Linked DNA regions of Mus musculus. The protein of the gene in region 1 interacts with the protein of each later gene in a pairwise test. Links are inferred from orthologs where the notes say so. Each region holds a gene or a part of one and is shown in the gene's direction. Other genes may lie near its edges.

Region 1 (4,561 bases):
TGGTTGAGATCTAAACTGTATTAGCACTCGGACTCTCATTCAGCCCTTCATTGCTGCCTACTGGTGCCAACCCACCCTTTCCCCACCATCCACTCATCTGCTTGATGGTTGCACTAAATACATTTGAAGTCCTGGGATGGAGGAGACGGCAACGCCAGGGGTGAAAGGGAGGTTAAGGGGGATGTTAGGGTGACATGCTGGGGATGACGTCACCATTACTCTGTTTTTCCGTGCGGTCAGGCATTCATGTTCAGAACTCTCACAACTACAGTTTTAAAATCTGGGCCCAATTGAGGGGCGGTGGGAGGAGATAGTACAACTCTCTAAGAGTTTCTGGCCAAGTTCCTCGTAGTTCCTCTGGGCTTAGCTTTCTTTCTTTTTATTTTAAAGATTTATTTATTTATTTCATGTATGTGGGTACACTGTCACTGTCTTCAGACACACCAGAAGAGGGCATTGGGTTCCCATTACAGATGGTTGTGAGCCATCATGTAGTTCCTGGGGTTTGAACTCAGGACCTCTGGAAGAGCAGTCAGTGCTTTTTTTTTTTTTTTTTTTTTTTTCCCCAAATGAGACAGGGCTTCTCTGTATAACTCTGGCTGTCCTGGAACTCACTCTGTAGATTGGGCTGGCTCGAACTCAGAAATCTGGCTGCCTTTACCTTCCAAGTGCTGGGATTAAAGGTGTGCGCCACCACTGCCCAGCAGGTCTCATTTTAACAGCACAGTTCTAGGTTGAAATCTTCAAGACAATCCTGAGGTAAAGTGGCACAGGATCAAACCCCAGACAGAGCACAGTGGTTTAGAAGGGCTGTCCCAAGGTTGCCCAGCTGGTAGCTGCACTGAGTCATGGCTTTATTATCGGCACAGGGGAACGGGCAGGAAACAGGTTTTTGTTTTGTTTAGTTTTCTAAGTGAAAATAACTCCTGTAATCCCGGTTTGTAGGATTGCTCACTGCGAACATGCAGAAGGGGACAGCCTGGAAAGGAACACTGACGACAGACCAGGTGCAGAGAACCATTAGTGGCATTTCTGGCAACAAATGCACATCGATGCTGCATAGCTCCTATTGCATGATACGTAAGCATGTCACATATAATCTCTATCACAGTGACAGTGTCCCCACGACCAGCTTGTCCATAAGGAAGTCAGGCAACTTTCCAGACAATGCCACTGAACGAGCCCGGAACGTCTGAGACCGATGCCAGGTAGAGTAGGTAGGACGGGTTTGGGAGCGTACAGCCCATTTGAGCCGCTGACACTACAAGTCCCAGCAGCCCTCAGGGCAGGGAAGGCATGGGGCAGCCAGAATCCGGATGGACTACAAATCCCAGCAGGCAAATCATGGCCGCAGAGACTACCAGTCCCAGGACGCATCGTGCCACACACAGCGCACACTGGGATTTGTAGTCGTCAGGGCAGCGTTAGTGTGTTCACACCCATCAAAGAGGACGTACATTCCTCAGATTGAACACTGGAGGATTTACTGCTTTAGCAAGTAACATGGACGTGAGATGGGGAAGTAAGGGCCCAGCGAGTCAACTCTCGGAGCAGGGGAGGACAACTGCGCATGCTCGTTGGAGTCCGTCGGCGAAAGCGCGCGCCAGAGGCGCCCAGAGCAGGCCCCGCCCCCTTCCCGACCGGCCCCGCCCTTGAGCCGGGAGCCCAGGGAGCCTGCGCTGAGGGCGGGGCGCAGGCCGTGGGGAGGCGCTCGCGGCGCCTGCGCAGAGCGGCTGCTTCTCTCGCGAGGACGGACGCCATTATCGCAGCTCCCCGACAAACACCACGAGAATTCCGCAGCCCACACGGTAATTGCAGCTCCCGCAGCCGGTCGCGCCTCCACTCCCCCTTCCCGCGGGGCGAGAGCGAGAGCGAGAGCGAGATCTCCGGCCGCCCCCGCCCCGCCCCGCCGCCAACCGTCGCCAACGGCCACGGGGCCGCACGCCGGGCTGGGCGGGGGCCGGCGGGCCGCGGGATGTCCGCGCGTCGCCTCCGCGCCTCCACCCGCCGGGGCTGCGGGACCCGGGAAGCGAGCGAGCGAGCGGGCGAGCGGCCGAGGCCCGGCGGCCGTGCTCGCGTGCGTTCGGCTCCGGGGCCTCGGCGCCTCCCGGGCCCGCGCCCGGCGCTCCTGTCACGGGCTCGGCGCGCGGGCGCTGTGGCCCTGGCTCGGCCGCCCAAGTCTCTCAGGACTGAGCCTCGCGCGCTGCGCCCGGGCCCCGCGCGCCGCCCCGCCGCCTAGGTGGCCCCATCTCCCGGCCGTTGTTGGCGCTATGCCCCGGTAACCGGGTGACTTCGCCCTGGTTGGCGCGTCCGCCCGCCTCTGCTCTGCTCTCTGTTGACATCGGGGCCGAGACTGGTGCTCGCTTCCCCACCTAGCGTCACGTCCCCGTCCCGCACAGCCTGGCTCTTTTTTTTCCTTGTTACTTGTGGTGGCCTTTGTTTCTCTGCTCCTGGTGACATTGTAACTTCTCGGAGATAGTGTGGAACCTCCGGCTTCCCTCTACCTCCTCTCTGCCTTTCTTCTAATCTGGGTTGGGGACGCTTTAGGCGGGTGCAGGTAGGTCCCGAGGTCTTTCTTTCGCTGCACGCCTGGTCAGCTCAGGACGCAGTGTTTCAGTCAGCTTTCTTCTTGAGTCCCCAGGGAGCCTCTGCCAAGGACTTCCTTTCTGGTAACTGTTTCCTCCCTGGACCGGCCTAAGGTCTTCTTGGCATTGGAACAGGTCTGCCCTTCGCAGGTATGCTCGGTAGGCGTGTCCTCGAGCGCTGGGAGATTGTCCCAAGAGCCTTTCTTAAAGTCGTTAGAGAGTTTGTCGCCCTCCCCCCCACCCCCGCCCCATTTGGGCACACTACTTGAGTTTCTTTATCTTTCTATTCCTTTTTGATTTTCATTCCAGGAAAGAACTTCAGTTTATCTTTCACCCCAGTGGCGCAGGACTTTTAATTCCAAGCACTTAGGAGACAGAGGCAGGTGGATCTTTGCCAGTTTGAGGCAACCTCGTTTACATAGTGTTTACATAGGCAACCTCCCCTATCTCGGGGAGGGGGCCGGCGAATCCACCATCAGAATTGTAGTTTCTGAGCAGGGCATAGAGAGGTACACACCTCTAGCCCCAGCACTTGGGAGGCAGAGGCAGGCGGATCTCTTAAGTCTGACACCATCCTGCTCTACAGAGTGAGTTCTAGGACAGCCAGAACTACACAGAGAAACCTTGTCTTGAAAAACGAAACAAACAAAAAAAAATTTCTGAATGTATTTGTTCTTTTCCTTTTGTTCAGTAGTTTGTTTCATGAATATGTTTTCTCTTTCAGGCTGAGAAAACTATTAGGGGTTCTTTTCAGTTCTCTTATCTGACTTCTTGTTTATCACTTTTGGGGGGTGGGTGGTAAATGTTAGCTTCTTGCTTTGGATGGCAGGTCCTCCAATAGTGCTAATTATTATTGCTTAAACCTTAGACTTTAAGGTAAGAGGAAACTGGCAGGGGGCCCTGGGTCTGTGGAGAGGGGTTTAAAAATGGTTTTCCCCACTAGTGTCTGGGAGAGGTTGTTACCTCAAGACTTGGAGGACCACATAACAGACACCTTATATCTGGGCTGTTTATGCATCTTCCAGGGTCTGTCTCCCTTTGCTTGGAAGCTGTTTTGCTTGTCAGGGGTGGCTGTGGAGACTGCTGAGGGCCAGGTGGGGCCTGGAGCCCCACTCCTGTGTCCTGCAAGCTATCTAGATCCTCTGTCAGAAGTTTAAGTCTTTGGCTGTGCTCTATTTTCTTGTGAGCTGATTGTACTGTAGTAAGTATTTTAGTGGGGTAAGTGGAGATTGTTTACAAGGCCACTCATCTTGAACAGGAATTTCAAAGCCTGTTGTCTTCATTCAGACAATTTGTCTCCTTCCATTTTTTGCTCTTTGTGACGGATGTGTGCCAGAACATGGTGTCTGGCTGCCTCCAGTTGACTGGGTGGTCCTTTGGTAGGGTACCGGGATGCAGAGGACTGGTCCCACACTGAGATTAGGATGCAGAGGACTGGTCCCACACTGAGATTAGGCACTTGATTTGACTTGTCTGGTGAGCTCTGAGTTTAGCCTCTTCACTTTGTTGCTGGGCTAGTGCAAGTAGCTAGCATATTATGCATGGTTCATTGATCCCGAGGTGCGCAGTGCAGTGTTTGCCGCGCCCATAGCACAGGGATAGCGAGGCGCTGTTTTGGGCTGGCACCCTTGCCCAGGGCCTTGCAGCAGAGTCCACAGCAACCCACACTTCATGAGCATTCTGAGGTCCACCTGCAGAGTTAGTCTGTGGTTAAGAATTTCAGAGAAACTGAATGAGCTTCCTCTTCCCCTTCATTTTCTCTCTTGGCTAACAGGAAGGTTACCTAGATTATAAAGACCATACACACGTTTCAATGTCCCACTGACATCTTTTGTTTGTTTTGTTTCAGGATGTAATTCAAGACTCCATACTCTAGTTGTCATATCTCCTCCAGTCTGCTATTTTCGTTATCCCAAAGTATCCAGTGTTTATAAGTTTTGGCAGGAAAAACGTGCAGTTTCTGGAAAAAGCCCAGC
Region 2 (2,708 bases), on another chromosome or scaffold:
CCCCTCCCACTCCTAGCCCCACCCCTTCAGGCCTCAGCACCTGGCAGCGCTGTGGACTACCCACTGACTGACCTGGCACTCGACACCAATTACACAGCCACCGTGCGTGGTCTCCGGGGTCCTAACTTCACCTCCCCAGCCAGCATAACCTTCACCACAGGTATAGCCACGGCTGCGTGTGGGTCACAGGAGATTGAGGAGAATAGACATGGGCCTCATTTTTGTCTCTTTCCATCCTTCTCCTTCCAGGGTTAAAGCCCCCCCAGGACTTGGAGGCCAAGGAAGTGACTCCTCGCACGGCCCTGCTCACTTGGACTGAGCCTGAAGTCCCACCCACAGGCTACCTGCTCAGCTTTGACACCCCTGGAGGACAGATTCAGGTACCCCACTTCACTGGCCATCAGCATTCCACGCGGCTTGATTTGGAGGTGCCTCCTCTAGCTCTCCTAGAGAGTCTCCATCTGGCCCTCCACTGACATGTCTGTCCCTCGTCTGTCTCCAGGAAATCCTGCTTCCAGCAGGAACCACCTCGCACAGGCTTCTGCGCCTCTTCCCCTCCACCTTCTACAGTGCCCAGCTGCGGGCCATCTGGGGCGAGAGCCTTACACCTCCCGTGCTCACTTCCTTTACTACTGGTACTGGCTCTGGGGTTTGAGCTTCGCGGGGGTTGGGGGGCTCTGGGATCTGAGGTTTGGGGAGGAGAACAGACAGACTCTCCACCTCCTCTCCGCAGGTGGGCTGCGGATCCCCTTCCCCCGGGACTGTGGGGAGGAGCTGAAGAATGGGCCCAGTGCCTCAAAGACCACCACCATCTTCCTCAATGGCAACCGTGAGCGGCCTTTGGATGTGTTCTGTGACATGGAGACTGATGGAGGTGGTTGGCTGGTGGGTTCCATTCAGAGCCCGGCTCCCTGCTTATCACTGTGTAGCACAGGAGACGATGCAGGGGAACCACAGGCTGACTTTGGCCTTGATTGCTTTCCAGGTGTTCCAGCGCCGCATGGATGGACAGACGGACTTCTGGAGAGACTGGGAGGAGTACGCCCATGGTTTTGGGAACATTTCCGGGGAATTCTGGCTGGGTCCGTGCTTCATAGGGCTGGGGAGCCAGGGAAGGGATGGCAGTCCAGTGAACCCCAGTACCCTGATGAAGCATGCTCCACCCCAGGCAACGAGGCCCTGCACAGCCTAACACAGGCTGGAGACTATTCTCTGCGTGTGGACCTGCGGGCCGGAAAGGAAGCCGTGTTCGCCCAGTATGACTTCTTCCGTGTAGACTCAGCAAAGGAGAACTACCGCCTACACCTTGAGGGCTACCATGGGACTGCAGGTAAGTGTGGGCACAGATGATGTGGGGGCGGGTGGGCACGAGGCGGGGTGATCCTCACTATGTCTTCGCATGCCCTGCCAGGCGACTCTATGAGCTACCACAGTGGCAGTGTCTTTTCTGCCCGTGATCGAGACCCCAACAACTTGCTCATCTCTTGCGCTGTCTCTTATCGTGGGGCTTGGTGGTACAGGAACTGTCACTACGCCAACCTCAATGGGCTCTATGGGAGCACAGTGGATCACCAGGTGGGGGCCGTGGGGACCACAGGACTCCACGTTGGGATCTGGGTGACCCGGGCTGAAGTCCTCTCACATGAAGGGCTGAACTCGTGCCTCAGAGGCTCAACTGTGAAATGAGACACTCATGCCAACCTTGCTGAGGAAACTTGAAGAGACCATTTATTACTGGGCAGAAGGCACCAGCTCAGGGATCATGGGGGAGATGGCTGGACCCTGGGAGTCACCTACAGGAGCAGGGTGGGGCTGGATTAGGTGGCATTGATATGGCACTGTCTTGACTCTCTTCCCTTGACAACCCTCTCCTCAGGGAGTGAGCTGGTACCACTGGAAGGGCTTCGAGTTCTCTGTGCCCTTCACGGAAATGAAGCTGCGACCCAGAAACTTCCAGGTCCCCACCAGGGGCACCTGAGCCTGCTGCCCACCTCACTCACACCCCGGTATGACTGCCGAGCACTGAGGGGTTGTGCCCAGAGAAGAGCCAGCATGCCACACCAAGGAGGCCTTCTCTGCCACAATCTCACAGCACCATGTTTACAGGGGGGGAGGGGAGGGGAAATGGAGCAATAAAGGAGAAACTGAGGCACTAGGCTCATCCTATCCTGTCAAGGTTTTCTCACCCAGTTCTTGGGCTGCCAGGTTTCTGGGCTGCAGCCGCACCTGGAAAGGAGGAATCAGGAGATTGATGCCAGCATAAAGCTGGGGCTGCAGGGAGGGCAGGGTTCCATCTGGTGGAGGCAGCAGAGTGAAGGCCTGCAGCAGACGAGCCAGCACCACAAAGAGCTCCAGCCGTGCCAGAGGCTCTCCCAGGCACACGCGTGCCCCACAGCCAAAGGATGGTGTTCTGGGATTCTTGCCAGGTTCCAGGAAGCGATCTGTGGGTAGTAGATGGAGAGCTAGAGAAGTTTGTCCCAGCAGAGGCCGGCCCTCTCCCGCTCCCTTTCCTGTCTGCCTCATACCTGGCCAGAACTTGCTGGGCAGTTCCCAAACCATCTCATCCAGGTTGGCGCCTTGGATGTTGGGGATGATGACCATATCCTTGGGGATGTTATAGCCAGAGATGCTGAGGGAAAGGTGGAGTCAGGAGCTGTCGAGGTCTTCCTCCCTCAACCCTTACCCCCAGGGAATCACCTGCTAGCCTT

Evidence for each region. The genes of interacting proteins can lie anywhere in the genome.
Region 2: the proteins of Banp (region 1) and Tnxb interact in binary tests that used the Homo sapiens proteins (3 or more experiments, as listed by UniProt). The two-hybrid records come from large-scale screens. The link is inferred for Mus musculus from reciprocal best matches to the Homo sapiens genes BANP and TNXB.

What each region holds. Positions count from the first base shown.
Region 1 is NC_000074.6:121,948,841-121,953,401, forward strand, and holds the start of Banp (protein BANP), read left to right. Parts: upstream 1-1,651; 5' UTR 1,652-1,808; intron 1,809-4,561. UniProt on the Homo sapiens protein: Controls V(D)J recombination during T-cell development by repressing T-cell receptor (TCR) beta enhancer function. Binds to scaffold/matrix attachment region beta (S/MARbeta), an ATC-rich DNA sequence located upstream of the TCR beta enhancer.
Region 2 is NC_000083.6:34,717,650-34,720,357, forward strand, and holds the end of Tnxb (tenascin-X precursor), read left to right. Parts: intron 1-16; coding exon 17-160; intron 161-249; coding exon 250-380; intron 381-502; coding exon 503-635; intron 636-733; coding exon 734-885; intron 886-985; coding exon 986-1,082; intron 1,083-1,168; coding exon 1,169-1,330; intron 1,331-1,411; coding exon 1,412-1,575; intron 1,576-1,781; exon of another isoform or gene 1,782-1,876; coding exon 1,877-1,978; 3' UTR 1,979-2,166; downstream 2,167-2,708. UniProt on the Homo sapiens protein: Appears to mediate interactions between cells and the extracellular matrix. Substrate-adhesion molecule that appears to inhibit cell migration. Accelerates collagen fibril formation. May play a role in supporting the growth of epithelial tumors.